Linked DNA regions of Arabidopsis thaliana. The protein of the gene in region 2 purifies or fractionates together with the protein of the main gene of each other region. This does not show direct contact. Each region holds a gene or a part of one and is shown on either strand. Other genes may lie near its edges. The genes, in order: AT3G52580, PGY2 and AT2G40010.

What was found.
Region 1: the proteins of PGY2 (region 2) and AT3G52580 fractionate together in Arabidopsis thaliana (co-fractionation; one large-scale study listed by BioGRID). This does not show direct contact.
Region 3: the proteins of PGY2 (region 2) and AT2G40010 fractionate together in Arabidopsis thaliana (co-fractionation; one large-scale study listed by BioGRID). This does not show direct contact.

What each region holds. Positions count from the first base shown.
Region 1 is NC_003074.8:19,501,223-19,504,975, reverse strand, and holds AT3G52580 (Ribosomal protein S11 family protein), read right to left. Parts: upstream 1,824-3,753; 5' UTR 1,653-1,823; coding exon 1,650-1,652; intron 1,379-1,649; coding exon 1,259-1,378; intron 1,182-1,258; coding exon 1,136-1,181; intron 740-1,135; coding exon 654-739; intron 558-653; coding exon 428-557; intron 343-427; coding exon 275-342; 3' UTR 3-274; downstream 1-2. Other genes in the region: AT3G52570 (alpha/beta-Hydrolases superfamily protein), read right to left, coding at 2,181-2,436, 2,522-2,662, 2,994-3,106, 3,255-3,493, 3,573-3,753.
Region 2 is NC_003070.9:12,021,166-12,024,918, forward strand, and holds PGY2 (Ribosomal protein L6 family), read left to right. Parts: upstream 1-2,059; 5' UTR 2,060-2,194; coding exon 2,195-2,569; intron 2,570-2,734; coding exon 2,735-2,857; intron 2,858-3,250; coding exon 3,251-3,337; 3' UTR 3,338-3,618; downstream 3,619-3,753.
Region 3 is NC_003071.7:16,709,122-16,712,874, reverse strand, and holds the start of AT2G40010 (Ribosomal protein L10 family protein), read left to right. Parts: upstream 1-2,102; 5' UTR 2,103-2,426; coding exon 2,427-2,684; intron 2,685-2,793; coding exon 2,794-2,862; intron 2,863-3,311; exon of another isoform or gene 3,312-3,588; coding exon 3,589-3,753. Other genes in the region: AT2G40020 (Nucleolar histone methyltransferase-related protein), read right to left, coding at 22-278, 366-510, 683-880, 975-1,112. UniProt on the Arabidopsis thaliana protein: Ribosomal protein P0 is the functional equivalent of E.coli protein L10.

The DNA.
Region 1 (3,753 bases), on a different chromosome or scaffold from region 2:
TTACAACCAAATAAAAATATTTTATCAACTCCAATCAAAGATTTGGCACCTAAGACTTTACAAAATCATACAGCACAAATTCAAGGTTTTTTTGTGAGATAAAATGACTACCAATTTTTGAATATCTTATGGTCATACAGAAAAAGATCCAAAGCTGTTCAGAGTTGAGACTATAACAAAGCATAGTAATTCCAAAACTCTTTTCAAACTAAGAAAAAACAAAATGAAACATTGAGAAAGCTACATAAGGAGATCCAACGAGAGGCCAAATAACTCAGAGCCTCCTTCCTCTTCTTCCACCCTTTCTGCGGGTACTGTCGGTTGGGATTGGAGTCACATCCTCTGAGGAAAACAAGAACAATGTCAGAGATTTATTCAATCAAAGATGCAATTAAACAATTACAGTTGAAGATTGCTGCTGTTTTACCAATGCGACCAATTTTCATGCCAGAACGGGCAAGGGCTCTTAGAGCAGACTGAGCACCAGGTCCAGGGGTCTTGGTCTTGTTACCACCAGTGGCACGGAGTTTCACATGTATGGCAGTGATTCCAAGTTCCTGTGTTGCATAAATATATTCACCAAATCGATTAAATATAGAAACATAAAAGATTATCAAGTTGTCTGCTTGGTAATGCAATTTCTTTGCCTTTACCTTGCATCGCTGAGCAACATCTTGTGCCGCAAGCATAGCAGCATAAGGTGAGGACTCATCTCTGTCGGCTTTCACCTTCATTCCACCTACAGAAGTAGGAAATCGAAACAGCAATTTTAGCAACCCATTGTTATTTAAGAACAATGCAATTTCCAAACAGATAAACAAAAGGAATTCCTCAAAAGTTAAACGAACAAAGACTAAAGACACTTCAGCTCACACCCTATAGAGAAGACCATAATACTAATAACAATGGTAACTAACTTAGTTCTATAAGCAGGAACATTGATGCCGTCAAGAACAAAGCAATTTCTATAAAGATATCAACGGATTCCTCGAAAAAACTTAAAAGAGCAGATACTAAGCAGAACCTTTAGGCAGTCAAGAACTTCATTTCACACTCAACAGAGACTACCGCATACAAGTTAACAAAGGGATCATCACCAAAGGATTAGAGAGTGAGAGTTGAAAGAGATGATTACCAGTGATGCGAACAAGTGTTTCCCGTCCAGACAAATCAGTCACGTGCTGCAATTGCAGATATAAGAAGTTCAGAAATGTACATAAAAATCTAACTTTGCTTGAAAAATAAAGAAGCCACTCACAATGAAAGTGTCGTTGAATGAAGCAAAGACGTGAACAACTCCAAAGACTTGCTCTCCTTCACGAACAGCTGGTCCAAGAGTCACATTCTCAACCTTTGGCTCTTTGGTCTTTCTCTTCGACTACAAAACCAAACAAAAACTAGCATTATGCATTTGCAATATCTAATAAAAACTTCTCAATTTGATAACTCAACGCTAGAGCCACACAAAAAAAATCCAATGTCTCAGAAAATTCATATGATCTCAGATCGAAATTCGAAGAATAAGGATTGCTTATTAAACATTTTCTCACTTCAGACCACCACACAATACCAGAAATGGATTTACAGATTATATATCTTCTTAATCACTAAATCCATGAAAATTAATTATAAGCTTTAGACAAACTTACCATGGTTTGGAACAGAGAGAGGTACAAAGGGAAGCTAGGGTTTCTTTTGTTGTTCCGCCTTTTACCTTTAGCTAGCGAAAGAGACGGATCAGAATTTGCTTTAATAGTCTGAATTTTTGTTAGGGTTAAAGTAGTGATTTTATGGATAATTTAATTGAGACCCAATATATATACAGACCCAACATATTACGGCCCATAAAAGTGAGCAAAAGTGCTAGTTTTTGAGCATCTTGGATTTTTAATCGTCTCTAGTCTTCTTACTGGTGTTGTGCCTCGTACTAACGTAGCAGTCATTGTCTTTCAAATCTTGTGTATAAAGTTATGAATGTGATAAGTTTATTGATGTTATTAGATCCTCCTAAACGTTTGTACATTGTTGAAAGGATATGCTAATGCAAAATTAGGAAACACAAACGGGAAAAACCGCGCATCGTCAAAATAGTTGCGATTGGATTTGCTATTTCTGCATATAGATACTGAACAGGAGTGAAATTGTAAGCAAAGACTAATGCCATTTTCGTAGCGCATCGTCTACTCGTGTGGGGAGAAGAAGTTGGGACTCACAATCTCTAGGAGTCCCTTTGGATTGTCTGTGTGTACCCAATGGCCAGAGTTACGAAGAAGATGAGTCGCAACCTTCCCTTCGGCTACATTCTGTCTCTGGTTAGCTATTGTTTCAAGCCGCTTGGTTGTATCGTTGTCCCATCGGTCACTCTTTTCTGCAATCACAAAATTTATCTCTGTCTCTTTTGGCGGGTTCTCTAGCAAAGACCAGTAAGAAGTCTCTCTGCAGTAGGAAAGTAAAAAGTCAAAATCTCGAGGAAGGTTCATAATATAATCATAGTCATTGGTTCTTAGGAAGGGAAATAAACCTGTAAGAGTTGAACATTTGGACAGCTCCGTCAAGGTTAAAGGTCCATGTCTCTGAGTCTCCAGATCTCTTGAGATTGCTGCCAATCCACTCGGATAATGATCTTGAAAACCCAAGTTCGACCATACGATCAACAAGCCACCTAGAATCAGAAAACAATGTTTGAGTGACACCAAGGTTGGATTCTATACTCTGCAAGCTGAAATGAGCCTCATTTATATATGTAACATAATCAGCTAGAAGCGATCATATAAGCATGCTCTTTATTCCCACTTATCTAAATCTTAAAAATGTCCTAGAATCCGCAGTAACAGCTCAATCAGAGAGATGGTATACTTATACACCAACTATACTAACGTTCACTCGAGATTTCATATGCGGGAATCAATTTGGAATTCCTAAGCTAAAACAAAGAGTCCAGAGTGTAGATAATTAGACAAACACCAAGAACCACATAAAGAATGAGACTTTACTTGCGAGAAGGGATTGATGAAGGTAAACTCTGCAAAGTCTTCAGAACTTTCTCTACTTCACCATCACTTTTTTCTGCCTTGACTTCCCCAGGGACAGAGTCTAGTACCCATAGCTGTTCTGCACCAAACAACCTTTGCTATGGTCATCATCATCATTATCAGATTAAAAGATCACAAATATTGCATCTCACAACAACAATGAGCTCTTAAACTTGCATACATGATAAGAATTCACAAGGTGAAGTAACTTTGGTCCAGTACCTGTTTAGGAGGAGAAGCAGATTCACCAAAATCACCACGAGCACAACTCTCCATGAACTGCAACGCCACTTTACCTCCCAAAGAGTGACCAATGACCACATCAGGCCAATTCCAGCCACTTGCTTTAACCAAATCAGCTAAATCCTTAGCTGAATTCACAAGATCATGAGGCGGATTAAGCCCTTCCACTTCCGCAGATCTCCCATGGTTCCTCAGATCAACCAATATCATCTTCCAATCTGAATGTACACACACAAGAAATTTCAATCGATATATCAAATGAAAAGCTCAAGATACTAATCACAGAGAGAAGCGTACCAGAAGCAGAGGAGACGGAGAGAGATGATGCAAGGGAGCGAGAAAACGATCTCCAGTTGCGACCGGAACCGAGGAGGCCATGAAGGATGAGAGCTGTAGATTCAGACTCCCGATCACCGGAGGTTCGGACTTCTTCGTAGGCTAGGGTTTGAAGAGATCTGGAACTCGTGAAACAAGAGGC
Region 2 (3,753 bases):
CACACCTAGAGATGGAGATAACACCTAGAGATGGAGATAGAGAGAGAGAAAGCTTCAGGAGGAGATGAAGAAGATGAGAGGAGGTGCAGATTTGGGGATGTTTTTTTCTTTTTTTTTCGGTCCAATTTTTTTTTTTCTGGATGGATTGATCAACTTTACAAAATCTCTGGCAAATATTTGGTAGATTTTTATTTTATTTTCATTGCTTTAACTTATGAATAAATCTATATTTTGAAAAATAAAAAGCTTGTGTACTTCTCGAATGTTTATGGTCTTAATATTGCTGCTTGCTTCGTTTTGGTCGCATGATTTTAAATTTACTAGGTTATAAATCCACGCGTAATTTTTTTATCAAAATTGATTCTTAACTCTATTGATTTTTATAATTTTTAATATGGTATATTTAAAATAAAATGTTTACTTTATTAGAAATTTTAATACTATAATCAATAATATATACTTTTCACCAAATTATATTACGCGTGGGTTCAAAACCAAGTGTTAATTACTTTGAAAAGCAAATTTTATATAATAAAATTTTAAAGTATGATATACTCATAACTTGATTTTTTTTTTTTTGCCGGCTACTCATAACTTGATTTGGTGCTATTTATGACAATTTCTCTAATTTATTCGACTTTTGTTATTTTGTTCTTTAAAGCAATGATAAATTATTATTTGGTCTGGCCCGGAACGGACTGCTTTCAAATGGACCGGGCCGCCAGCCCACATACTAACTCATTTAGATATAAGTTTCTTCTAACCTCTCTTTCTCTAAAAAGCTGTCGGCGAGTGGGAGAAGCGCAGAGAGAGCAAACAAAGAGCAAACTTGAATTATTTCTCCGTTGGCTTTGTTTGAAAATATATAAAAAAAACAATTAACGGGCCATGAGCTTGTTGCAAATAATCTATTTATTTTTCATTTTAGGATTTTTGTTTCTCGACACGAGTTGAGCTGATTTTGATAAGCCCACATGACATTGTTTTAGAGTTTCTGTTTTTCTTCTTTATACTTTTTAAAATGCGGCCAGTGAATAATTTTCTAAGGTTTATGCTTTAATACAAGTTAAATAATTTTTTTGTAAATAATTTTTTGTTGGAATGTCAAATTTATTCAACAAAAGAAAATGATTACAAAGAGTTTTGAAAGGTAAAAAATGGAGAAAATAAACGTGAAAAGTAGAAACAAAAATGATGAAATTGGCGCCACTTACATCATTATAGAAAGTTCAAAAGGCCTAATTCTGACACAATATTATTAACGGGTCATGGGCTTAATGACAATAATAAACTTTTCTCACTTTTGAGTTTTAATAAGCCCACATTTGCTTTAGGGTTTCTGCGTCTCTATCTTTAAATTGCTTCCGACGATTCATAAACTAGGGTTTCTGCCTTTAGCCGTCGTGAGAGAGAGAGCAAATCGAAGAGAGAGCAAAGAGAAAATAATATGTTGTTTGCGTTTGGTACGGTGACTCGATCTGTGGCTAATTCAGTGGTGGTTTGCTACGGCTTTCTTTCGACAATGGTGTTTTCTTTCGACCTAAACTTGATAGACCGAACCAAACTGAACCAATTTTTATATATATTTACTCAATTAAATCCTAAACTCCTCTATTTGATCTGAACCCGATCAACCCGAATACATAAATATCTAATCTTATCCATCTGAAAGGATACTAAACTCTCTAATTCGAATTACCCGAATCCAGAAAAAGCCGAATAGCATGCATTCTATTGGTACTTGATTATATTAATTGGCATATATATGACCTGTTATTGCCAATAATATATTTTGGGTGTTTCCTGGGCTTCAGTTTTATTGGGCTAGGAATGGGTGTACTTTTAAACCCACTTCTGATTAGTCTCTTAGTAAAACCCACTTTTAAACCCACTTCTGACCCACTTCTGACGCCGTCATTTTTCTTGAGAAGGAGAGAGAGCACCACTTCCGTCATTCCAGCCCAATATTTTTAACGGGCCATGGGCTTATTGTAAATAATGTATTTTTCTCATTTTTGGTTTTCTTTATGGGCACGATTTTAGTGGGCTGAATTTTGATAAAGGCCCACATATGAAAGATATTTAGGGTTTTTTCTCTTGATACCTTTTAAAACGCCGTCGAGAAATCTCCCTCTAGGGTTTCTTTGATCAAACCAGAGAGCCGTCAGGGAGAGCAAAACAAAGATCGGAGAAGATGAAGACGATTCTTTCTTCCGAAACGATGGACATCCCCGACAGTGTTACCATCAAGGTTCACGCTAAAGTGATCGAAGTCGAAGGACCTCGCGGGAAGCTTGTTCGCGATTTCAAGCATCTCAACCTCGATTTCCAGCTGATCAAGGATCCAGAGACTGGAAAGAAGAAGCTTAAGATCGATTCGTGGTTTGGAACACGCAAAACCAGCGCCTCCATCAGAACCGCTCTTAGCCACGTCGATAACTTGATCTCCGGTGTTACCAGAGGTTTCCGTTACAAGATGAGGTTCGTGTACGCCCATTTTCCCATCAACGCCTCCATCGGCGGTGACGGAAAGTCTATCGAGATCCGTAACTTCCTTGGCGAGAAGAAGGTTTGTTTTATCTTCTTCATCTCTGATTTGATTCTCATAGATTCGTGTAGATCTCGGAATGAAATAGACTGACACTAGATTCAACTTTATGATTGGACGATGATGATTGATTTCTGAGTTTGCGAGCACTGAACTTACATAGAAATGTGTTTATTGGAATAATAGGTGAGGAAGGTAGAGATGTTGGATGGTGTAACCATTGTTCGATCTGAGAAGGTGAAGGATGAGATTGTTCTTGACGGTAACGACATCGAGCTTGTTTCAAGGTCATGCGCTTTGATCAACCAGGTACTCTCTCTAACTAGCTGGTATCAAAGAGATTTAGGTGTTATCTAGCCAAATTTGCATTTTCTTGGGACTAAAAGGTTGAGAGATTGTGTTAGATAGGTGACACGGTTCAGTTCTAGGAATCAGATTTTGCATAAATGAAGTGAAAATCGATTTGTATTATCTCTATAGGTCTCTAATAGACGATTAGATTACTCGCTAAGTAAACTTTGCCAATTTTGCCTATTGTTTGGCTTCTTAAGCTTTTCAGCATTGTGTATGAAAGTGTTTTTTTGGTTGATGTTTGAGTTTAGGATCACATTTTTGCATAGTGAAATCAAAAGGATCATTTCAGTGATTGATTTACGTGTTCAAGTCTTTGTTGTAATCTTTTATGTTGTGATTGTTGTGCAGAAATGTCACGTGAAGAAGAAGGATATCAGGAAGTTTCTTGATGGTATCTATGTTAGCGAGAAAAGCAAGATCGTAGAGGAAGAATGAATGCCCATATCATCGTCTTAGCTCCTATTTCTTGTCTTTTGAATGTTAGTTTCGTTTTATGGACCAAATCCACCGGTGTTGCAAAACTCTGGCTATCCCTTGTTCCCTTTTTGTGTTCGAGATTTTATTTACTTATGCACAAGTTTTGGAGACGAGCTATCATTTTCACCTTTGCTTAATTAAATCATATCGTGTGAATTTGGGATTGTTCTGGATTTGGCATTGTGGGTTGTGCATTCAAAATTGATACTTCAGTCACTAAACTAAAATCAATTTCTCGCAACGCTGTGATCAAACATAAAGATAACTTGAGACAACGAAAGCGAGCTTTGCAATTTGAGAAAAGCTACGAGACGCCCTGATGGTCAGGTGATCAATATTAGTGCAGAATGATTCTGCTTTCCAGAAGTCCTCTT
Region 3 (3,753 bases), on a different chromosome or scaffold from region 2:
TACAGGAGCTCCATAGCTCCTTTACTTGTCCCACCTCATCTCTTTCTTCCTCCTCTTCTGTCCACGTACTTCCCTGAGAAGCTCTTGAAGTTCTTCACAAAGAGGTTCTGGAGTAAGCTGAATGATCTCATCATCATCACCATCACTATCCTCCTCTGGCTCCGTCTCCTTCTCCTTTGGATCCTCTGGCTCGGTCTCCTTCTCCTCTGGATCCGTTTCCTCCTCAGGATCCGTCTCCTCCTCATCAATTAGCCATCCACAATGAAGATTCTCCACACCTAATCAATTATTTTGACCGCAGTAAAAGAATGTTTCATTTCTTATGTTGAGATTGGTATGGATATGAGTAAAAAAGCTTTTATTACCTCGAACAGAACTTTGTGCATAATCTGATGATGCTTCTCCCAAATGAATAGCTGCTGGTGATGGGTCATTGACTGCTTCGCTATTGATTGATAACTCATCAGCTTGGTCTCTTCCATACTCAATATGCATGTCCTGCTCCTGCTCCTGTATTACAAAAGATGGATCATGCTGCAAGTTACATACCATTTGGGTAAACCAAGTTCAAGAATTCTGTCAATGGTTTCTAATAATGCCAGCAAAACGAATCCCAACAATGGAAGCAACAGATTTGTGAACCTGCACAGAAAGAGAACGAGAAGGAAGAAAAACAAATCACCTTCTCTTCTTCGTGTATTTCCACAGCCAATTGATTGGGTTGTTCTTCCTCAGCCATCTCTTCATTGTGATTCTCAGGCAATTGGTTGGCTTGTACTTCAGCCAATTGTTTCTCTTTTTCCTCTTGCTTTTCAAGGCAGATAGCAAGGAGGGGACCATAGCTATCATCTTCAATCAAAAACCATTGGTCTTCGTAGACCTGAAATCCAAAGTGGGTAAAACGTTATTTTCAAGTTGCAAGGAAAATGTTATCAACAACGGAAAAATGGAGACCCTAAAACTAGCGAACAAACCTCTAACAGTTCCTTAATACTCTCACTGATAACATGCTCATGAAACCCAAATCCTCTCATGCGATCTCGTGCTGCATCCTCTCGCATCAATCCAGCCTTCTGCAAAAAAGCAAAAGAAAAGTAGCAATTTAAAAGCATAGAAAAGAGAGATAATCATAGAAGGAAAAAAACAAGAACACCCATCATAAAAAGAAGTATTTGTAAACTTATCTCATCAGTGTTCTCAACGTTGAGTACACAGAAGTCGTAGAGAGAAACAAAATGTTAACTTCAACAATCATGTCATTCAAATACTTCATCTATATAGTCATTCTACTCTAATGTCTATGTCTATGCTTTTATCTTAGTTTTCCACTATACTCTCTAAAAACTATATGATTCAAAAGCTCATATCTTTACTTGTTAGCCAGCATTTTAATTTGGAAAAACAAAACAAAAAAAACAGTACAGCTTATACCTTTCTTCTTCCTCTGGGAGCCATTTGTTGATCCCTCACAATTCCCTGTAGTTTCAGAAGAAATTGGAGGACCAAAAGTATAAGTCTTTGGGTTATAATCAAACAAACAAACAAAGGCAACCAAACAAGTGATCCCTTTTTTCAAACCTATGTAACAACAAAATCAACGAAAGATGAAACAAAACAAAAGTTGAGCTCTTTCCCAAAAATCCCGAATCAGTAACACTAGAGATAAACCAAAAATACCCTAAAATTCAAACCCAAATGAAACCTAAACAGAATCACAACAAAACACAAAAACACGAACTTAATTTTGCTACAGAGATGACAATGTGCTGAGCTGTTTCGTTCAGATTCGATAGGGAAAGAGAGTACTTACGGCGGAGAAGATAAAATCGGCGGCGACTGTGGAAGGTTTCTTAAGAATAAGCCGTGGATCGCCTCCTCGTCTCCCAAAAATGCTTCTTTGAATGAAATCGAATTAAAAAAATAATATAGTATTTGTTTGGGTCAACCATTTTCTCTGTTAAGTCAACCATTTTCTTATTGGTTACTATAAAAAATAATAAAGTATGAATTACAATGAATGGATCTCAGTTGGGCTTGAGATGTGGGTCGAAAGAGCTTTTAGCCCAATAGGAAAAAGATTCATAATGTTAAACATGTTGGGCAATATTGGCCCATCCCATTGATACTACTACAAATAATATAAGCCGTTAGATTTAGGTCATCCCACAAACCCTGACCGTTCATCCTTCCGTCTTCCGATAACTATATAAACCCAAGAAACTTCTTCTTCAACCTTAAGCAAATTCTTACGCAGCTTTTTTTCTTTCTCTCTTCCTTCCTCTGTTAAAAACAGTTACAGAGGTTAAAGAGACAGCGCCAATTCGCGCTGTCCACCTTGTACGAGCTCCAAGCTTCGTCTAGGCCCTCCATTTTCTCTACCCCAAAATTTAGTTTCTTTAGTCTCACTTTATCATTTTTAAGTGGAAATGGCGGTGAAAGCAACAAAGGCGGAGAAGAAGATCGTTTACGATTCAAAGCTTTGTCAGCTTTTGAATGAGTACTCTCAGATTCTTGTCGTTGCAGCTGACAATGTTGGATCAACTCAGCTTCAGAACATAAGGAAAGGTTTACGAGGTGATTCAGTTGTTTTGATGGGGAAGAACACAATGATGAAGAGATCTGTGAGGATTCATGCTGATAAAACTGGCAATCAAGCTTTCCTCAGTCTCCTTCCTCTTCTTCAGGTTTCATTTCTCTTGTCTTGAATAGTTTGTTTTCATTTGGATATAAAGTATTGATTTTTTGGTTTTGTGGAGAATTTGATTTGGTTTGGTGTTAGAATCTATTTAACAGGGGAATGTTGGGTTGATCTTCACTAAGGGTGACTTGAAGGAAGTCAGTGAAGAGGTTGCTAAGTACAAGGTTTGTTTCTTTGGCTCAATTGATGTTATTGTTGTTGTTAAGCTTTAGTAGAGTTCAAATATGGATTGATAGCTTGGAAAGTGAAAGTTTGTATTTTTGAGTTTGAAATGAAATCATATGTGTTCTTGCTTAAAATGCAGCCACATTCTAATTGAGATTATTATGATTCGTTGAGCTTTGAGGAGATTACATTTTCATTGATTGGTTTATTACTTAGTTTGGTTAGTTTTATGCTGTATCTGATTATCTCTAAGTAAGCAAGAATGCAAGGTGTTGTATTATTCGATTTTAAACACAAATGCAAACTTTCACTTTCCAAGCAAATAGGGTTGATTAGATTATAGTACTAGTTATTTTGGTTCATTGAGGTTTGAGGAGACGACATTTGTAGTTTCTGTTTTGTGTTTTGATTGATTGGTTTATTTTTAGCTTCTACTGTTACTTGATGATTTAGTCAGTTTATGATCATCCTTTAACCTATGGCTTTAGGTTATTAACTTGTAAGGTGGATAGGTGATAAAGTTTGCATTTTGGTTTAAATTGGAACTCAAAACCTCTATTTTCTGTCTTGAAACGCAACCACATTCAAGAAACTTACTTGAGAGTCTACTAGTTTCCTAGGCTCACATTTTTGTAGCGTCCTTTCATGTTGTTGGATTGATTGATTTTTTCAACTTAGTCTTGTACTGTTAATTGATGAGAAATTCATTGTCCTTTTTTTGACAGGTTGGAGCTCCTGCTCGTGTAGGTTTAGTCGCTCCAATTGATGTGGTCGTGCAACCAGGCAACACTGGTCTTGACCCTTCACAGACCTCCTTCTTCCAGGTGCTTAACATTCCAACCAAAATCAACAAAGGTACGGTTGAGATCATAACCCCTGTGGAGCTCATC